2 linked regions of the Daphnia pulex genome follow. The protein of the gene in region 1 interacts with the protein of each later gene in a pairwise test. Links are inferred from orthologs where the notes say so. Each region holds a gene or a part of one and is shown on either strand. Other genes may lie near its edges. The genes, in order: RING finger protein 11-like and rab5 GDP/GTP exchange factor-like.

Region 1 (3,926 bases):
ACATTAAGTCCTAGTGATGTGTGTAAATTGTAAATATCCTTTAACCAATATGATCTGCTTATTACTGTATGTCTTACCTATTATAATCGGAACACAAATTGTATGTTGGTTTCGTGAGTTTGGATCACAAGAAAATATATCCATTCCTGGTGAACTTACCTAGTTATAAAATCCTTATGCAAAGAAATTAGAAGTTTTACATAGATAAAACGTAAGTGAAATCAATGAACTCCTCGTCAACACAATCGTCAATGATCCGATTACATGTAATGATTTCGAAACCAAGCCGCCCGATCGCGCTACAATAATATTTCATACACATGGGGATGGACTAGCATTTCGCCGTTACGAAAAAAAAAGTTATTACACGAACGACACTCACCAGCAGAATAGCACTCGTATATGTTCATTGAACATTATGATTCATCATCATCGAAGTAAAAAGAAGATTTTCCTGTTCACTAAATGATGAAAATAATAAAGAAGGAAATTAAACGACACAAAATAGGCTCCCCTCCCTGCTAGAGATGATTAAGTTGTTAAAACTAATAATAAACCATACTACACCGACGTACCACACGTAAGATAACATATTATACCGCGTAAATATCAGAAACGTTTCTGCAAAAGTGAATAACGCAAAGGAATGCCTTAATATGTTTGCGCGCTAATGCGCCAAAGGCAGTTGTGGATGAACAGGAAAAGAAGAGAATAAACAGAGCAACAAAAACCACCTTTTCAGATTTAGAAGTTACTGTAACCCAAAAGAACGGAAGGACCTGAATCCCACGTGAATCTACGAGCTCTAATCAAACGAAAAAAAATTTAAAGAAGGAAAAATAAGCAACGAAACGAGTTTGAACGCTCCAACAGTGTGAAATTGAGAGACTAGTGGCGAGGAAAAACGAAACAAAAAGGAGAGCCGATAAAGAAAAAAAAAACTAATAATCGCGGTACAAAACGTTCCTCCTATAGCGCAATGAAAGATAGAAAAATCTAAAGAGAGAGGAAAAAAAAAAGTACAAAGTGGCTTTGTATATCATATTTAAAGGTACGAACTCTAGGCGTAAAAACAGAAGCCAGGAAGAGTTTCTTCTTCTATCTGGTGCGACCGAATTCACCGAAACTTTATCACACGGGAATCTCTTCTTCTCCTTCTCTCTCTTTTTTAAACATAGGGACAACGTAACTCAAAAAAGTCTCCTCTTCGACCGCAGTCTTAATACTTTCGAAAAGGAACCAAAATAAAGAATCCAGTTATCACTTTGCGATGACGCGTTATTTCCGGCTTTTCGAATATGAAATTCTCAGTTCGGATGAAGCTCATTCTATAGAGAGAGAGAGCAGGACTGATGAGGTGATGACGCCTTTGTCTTTTGCATGTAGTAGTTAGTTGGCTTCGTAGGTCGAGAGGAGGGCCGACTCGACCGGTTCCATGCATGACGGGCATGTAAAACTTCTCATTAGCCAATCGTCGATGCACTCGACATGATACGTGTGCATGCATGGGAGGTATCGAACGGAATCGCCCACCATGAACTCCACCATGCATATCACACATCTGTAAAAATTAAATAACAATAAACACCGCCACAATGAACAGTACTGAATGTGACTCAAAAAGATCCTACTCTCTGTTTTTCTTGCACCCGTCATAAGTTCCTGTGGGTAGGTGTTGGATGAGACCAATACGTTTGGCTATCTTCACTTGCTCTTCTTCGGTGAGCTGTGAAGCTGGTCTTGACACGTTGGGAGTTGGGTGATACATGGGCATGGATTCCTACAAAAAAACTATACTGAAGGTCACGGCAACAAACTCGATCACTGGAATAACAAACCTCGTATGGAGGTGGAGGCCCAAAAGCCATTCCTGAGGATGAAGAAGCATGCAGCTGCAAGTCTGATGAAGACTGAGACTCTAGCGATGGTGGTGGTGTTTCATTACCCCTAAGCAGGGAAACCCCATCAGTGGACGAGGTCAGACCTTGGAAAAGAACAAAGGCAAGAGTTACGAAATATCTCACAGGCTTTGCTGAGTGAAGTTGACTGGGGATTGCACCAGATTTCTGTATACAAAACAATCTCTACAACACAAAGGACAACTAAAGGAGAATATAAATGAATTAACTGAAAATTAATGTTTACTAGAGAATTGACAACAACCGCAACAACCTTGAAGGCAATTGCCCATTCCTGACGACTTTTGTTTTCCTGGCGAATACAAAACACCCGACAACGAAAGTAACAACGCGAATCGGTGGTGCTCCGAAACTACACACTCGAGTACTTTAGTTTATCAATTCAACATATCAAAATTTGGAAACGTGTACACGGTACTTGATAAGATTTGGCTGTTTAAGAAATGAGCTCAAATAGACAGAGAAACGTTAAGTCAAACAACAACGCAATCACTCAGCGCATCGTGTGCTCTCCTGGCCAGCTGATTTCTCTTTGTCACAAAATTCGGGATAAAAACATCAAGGCTTTTCCGGGGGGGTAACCTACTTTTTTTGTTCGTGAAAAACAAAGTTTCACAACATTTGACTATTATTAGTTAAGAAAACATTCTAATATTAATTTAAATGAAAAATTACTTCAATAATTAAGTAAAGACTATTTGGTAATTTTTTTATTTATTTTGTGACTCGACCAAAACATTTTGTCGGCCGATATTTCGGCGCTGTACGATAGGTGGCGCCAAATTCAAACCGAGCTAGAAATCAATATGTGACGATGTACTGACGTGGCCTACGTCATCCCAAAATAAATCGAAAAAGCAGTGCAGGTAAAATCCATCAATAACTCACGTTCTAGAGTATAGATCGAAACCATTCTATTTAACTTAAATGTTTTCTAATGTAATAATTCTAATTTTCTAATGTCTAAGTTCAGTGTCACCAACCAATCAGAAGATTAACCAGTGTGTTGTTTTTCCAGTAGTAGTTGATATATCTTTGGAAACCCATGTACTTATGACAGTTAATAAATGAATAAATCAAAGTGTCGTGAGTTGCCAAGCTAGCTTCGCTGCGTCATTTAGATCATTGACAAACAAACACAGAAACTACGCATCCTAAGTTATTACACACAATAACTGTCAGCATAAAAGTTAGCCATTCCAAAATGATGAGCATGTCCACCAACTTGAGTGAATAGGAGAATGTAGGCCATGTGAGGCCAGGCATGGCCCATCTATAATTAGTGAGATTACAACCAGTTAGAGCTTGGCATCCCAACTTGGCAATCGAAGATCGATGATGAAGTAGTGCAAGATACAGAGATATTAAAAATCTAGTTGACTCACGAGTTGAAACTGAATTTGTGTTGCACTTGCGCCCTGGTCCTCAGAATCTCTTAGCTACACGAAACTGGCATTGTTAGTCACGAACCGGATTCCCGACTCTTCACAACCAGATGGCTGGTGCGCCGCACGCAAGTTTCTCGCCTTTAAAAAGAGTCTTTTTCCCGATGTACTAAGCGTCCGCTCTCCATTGACAAAATCGTGAGCGAACGAATATCCCGAAGTGCAGGGGGGAAAAAATAATAAAAGAAGTGTTGTCACTGCACGGTGCTGCGCCATGGCGTCGCCCTTGATCAATCAAAGTGATCCAATCGCTTCAATAAATCTCATTCACGACGAGTTGGAGTCCTTCAAGAAGAACGTCGACATCTTTTTCCTCGTTGTCATGGGCAGCATCGTCTTCTGTGAGTTAAACTGAGCCTTAAATCACATTGATTGGCCGGGGGAAAAGAAAACAGGAAATATTTCGCGTTTAGTTTTACAGGCGGGATTCGCGTTCTACGAGTCGGGATCGGTGAGAAGTAAAAACGTCACCAACGTCCTCTTTCTCAACTACATGGACACAAGTATCAAGCTACCGACATATATCTTTTGATTAGTTATGTTATTCAAATCCCGATTTATT
Region 2 (3,273 bases), on another chromosome or scaffold:
AGATCGCAGAGTGATGCAAGCACATTCTTCAACAAACCAGAGAGCCATTCTTCGACACTTCCCCGCCATGGATTTTCCAGGTTTGAAGAGAAAAAGAGGCATAATCAAGAGATGAGGACAACAGCCGTCAAGTCACTCTTCAGGAAGACACCCACCAAGGGTTTGGGGAGCCCGAAATCAAAAGACAAGAGAGCCCTCAGTCCGGAATCCCATTCAGCCATTATAGAATTGGATCAATTTCTGCAAACACTACCACAAAACGCTGCCCATCACGCCTACAGTTTCTTGAGAATGCAAGCCCAAAAACTGGACGGTCTAGTATCATCTGGGGTCCTCACTCCTTTGGAGATATCTGACAGGGTTCACAACATTTATCAAGTCTTTGACGAAAAGCTGAAAACTCATTCAGGTTTCTTGGGTAATCTTAACATATTTTCATCATTTTCATCACTTGAAACATCTTTTTTTCTACAGACATGACCAACAGCTCGATGGAATCCTTGTTAGATCACAGTGAACGTTACCTGACTCGACTGTTGTACAAAAAATTGTTTTGCCCTCACACCTGCGATGACGAAGAACGTGATTTGGCCGTTCAGAAACGTATCCGTAGTTTGAATTGGATTTCGGCCCCACTTCTCGACTGTCGAATCAACGAACTTGATTCTAAAGTTCGAGATATCCTCGAGAAGGCCATCACGCGTACGTTCCGTCATACATTACGTCTCGGTTCATCTAAAATACCTAAAATACCTCTATAAATTTAGATCTCATTGAAATGGACGGCCAGAGAGCACCTCAGGACAAGCTGGCATCGATTATAAATTGTAGCAAGTTGGTGTTTGAAATGTTGGGATTGTCCCACAATTCAAATGCCGATCAATCACGAACTCGTGCGGAAGAAGAATCCGGCGAAGGTCAGACGAAAGAAATGACCGAAGGTGATGCGGTAGAGCCAACTGTTTACAGTTCGCACCCAGTGAGTGCCGATGATTTCCTGCCGGCGCTCATTTACGTAGTGTTGCGTGCCAATCCACCACGCATTCATTCCAATCTCAATTTCATCACGAGGTATTATAATAATAATAGTTATGACTTTTTTTTGTTGTTGCCGCTATTTGACGTTGGGTAATTTCCATTTAGATTTGCGGCCCCTGGTCGATTGCTCCAGGGCGAGGGTGGATACTACTTCACCAACTTGGTATTTGCATAATCATTTTCACCTTAATTATGTGCGAGTAACGACGTTGGTTCTTTTGTTTTCTCTCTGGCCAGTGTTGTGCCGTTTCTTTTTTAGAAAACTTGACGAGCGATTCGTTGGGATTGTCGAGCGAGGAATTTGACCGTTACATGAGTGGCAAGTCCATTCCATTTGCGTCGCTTCAAGCCGGTGTGATGGTGTCGGAGGTATATTTACATTTCGGTTGTTTTTAAAGAATTGCAATCATTTCTCGTTTTATATTTTCAGGGTTTACGTCTCATGTACCAAAACATGTCGACCCTGTCGGAGCTGAAACACAAGCAGACAAACCTCCAGCAGCAAATCCTCGAGCTGAAAAGCGACATGGAAATCTTCAACGTAAAATGACCCTCATACTTTTGTTGTCACTACTTTTACGTTCGTTATCGTTTCTTCTTCTCTTCGTCATTCAGGAATGTGTGGGCAAGGAAGTGGTGGAGTGTTTGCAACAGTTTCCCGTCCAGATTCGGGGCAAACGAGCTCCAATCAAACCTGATGAGGTGCAGCCCAATGAGAGTGATACTCTCAAGCTGCTGCCTCCTCCGTTGCTTCCGCATAAAATCAGCGCAGAGTCTGCCCTTCCGCCCTTGGTGGATTCGATATCATCCAATTTGGAGCATCTCGTGCCGGACGTAGCCGCAGCTGCACCCGTGGGACGCAGGGTGGCGGCCACCGACAATCTACTGGACGGATCGATCCAGGAACTTGATCTGCTGGCTCTTAATGAACTGTCGATAAGTTGCTCGTCCTCTGGAGAGCCAAACACTCTGCTGCTGGAGACGACTACAGACGACGACCCGTTTAGTTCACTTTCTCTGACCGTTCAAGGCCGGATCATTCCGTGTATTCCTTGCGAAAACATTTCACCCACTGGCCAACAACTCCCTCCCTCCAACTAAAAACTCCCACCTCAATAGTTTTTGTTTTAATGATTTGATTTCGTTTTTCCCAATCGAAATGAAAATAACAAACAAAAAACAATTGAAAAAGAACAACTACTAGACAGGGAATGTAATATCCCGTTACCCTTTGCGAGTTCAACTCTATTGTGTAATTTAAATCACCTTAACGAATTTGCATGATGTGCTTTTTTCCATAATATTTCCCGGGCAGCATTAGAGTGAAACGCGATGACTGCTAACGTTTTTAACAAACACATTTTTCTCCCCTTCTCTTCCTATTCTAGTCTCTCTTATCTCAATGCTATTCCTCTGCCCTTGGTCATCCGCAAATAATTATCTTTGTTTTCCAAAGAGTCGTTTGAGTATTTTTCCAGTTCAAAGCGAAAACAGTGAAACTGTTGGGATTGCGGATGATTCTTTTGCATGATTCGTCTTGCAGGATGAATGTCTGTGGGCAATGTGAACATCGTGAAAGAGATTCAATAGAATTTTACTCGTGTATACATTGCAATTTTCTATTGATTTGTACGTGGGGTGGAGAGCCAGTCTACTGGGAATTCTCGCAGGTAATGGTGTTGGCGTATTTTCTTTTTTAGACAATTTAATTGTTGTTTTTGTTTTGCAAATTAACTCAATTTCGTCTAGGAACTGACAGTGAGGAACGCGATCGGTCTTCGGGGAAACACCTGCTGTCGCTGGTGAATTTATGGTAAAGAATTGATTCACGATTTATATTCCTTGTCAAAGCAAATGTTTCTATAGGCTCTTTTGCGCTCCAATGGCAGTTTTGGGGTACGACATTGATTTCTTCCCTTACGTAATGAAATCGGATCGTTGCAGGTAAAAGATTGTGCCATAATATTAACAAAGATTGAAAATGAATGGCCATTTCATGAATCTTCGTCTTAGCTTTCAAGTTAAATGATGAATCGATCCTATGGAGTAAACCGCAGCTGGCTGTCAACACCTTCCTGGCAAACGTCCGAACTGGTTACAAAAATATCAACTCCTCAACGAAAGTAAACTCTGATAAAAATGTGTCCTATTTATCAATGATAATTCACAACCTCTTAAATATTTGCAGTAACACGACAAGGAAAAAAAGTTCGTCGACAGTCAGCTGTCAAATTC

Evidence for each region.
Region 2: the proteins of RING finger protein 11-like (region 1) and rab5 GDP/GTP exchange factor-like interact in binary tests that used the Homo sapiens proteins (3 or more experiments, as listed by UniProt). The link is inferred for Daphnia pulex from reciprocal best matches to the Homo sapiens genes RNF11 and RABGEF1.

What each region holds. Positions count from the first base shown.
Region 1 is NC_060023.1:11,168,666-11,172,591, reverse strand, and holds RING finger protein 11-like, read right to left. Parts: upstream 2,476-3,926; 5' UTR 2,338-2,475; exon of another isoform or gene 2,272-2,337; 5' UTR 2,192-2,271; coding exon 2,146-2,191; intron 1,985-2,145; coding exon 1,839-1,984; intron 1,781-1,838; coding exon 1,632-1,780; intron 1,562-1,631; coding exon 1,390-1,561; 3' UTR 249-1,389; downstream 1-248. Other genes in the region: putative ammonium transporter 1, read left to right, coding at 3,579-3,705, 3,778-3,867. UniProt on the Homo sapiens protein: Essential component of a ubiquitin-editing protein complex, comprising also TNFAIP3, ITCH and TAX1BP1, that ensures the transient nature of inflammatory signaling pathways. Promotes the association of TNFAIP3 to RIPK1 after TNF stimulation.
Region 2 is NC_060026.1:15,789,011-15,792,283, reverse strand, and holds the end of rab5 GDP/GTP exchange factor-like, read left to right. Parts: coding exon 1-418; intron 419-474; coding exon 475-702; intron 703-767; coding exon 768-1,071; intron 1,072-1,143; coding exon 1,144-1,201; intron 1,202-1,275; coding exon 1,276-1,407; intron 1,408-1,468; coding exon 1,469-1,579; intron 1,580-1,653; coding exon 1,654-2,139; 3' UTR 2,140-2,643; downstream 2,644-3,273. UniProt on the Homo sapiens protein: Rab effector protein acting as linker between gamma-adaptin, RAB4A or RAB5A. Involved in endocytic membrane fusion and membrane trafficking of recycling endosomes. Stimulates nucleotide exchange on RAB5A. Can act as a ubiquitin ligase.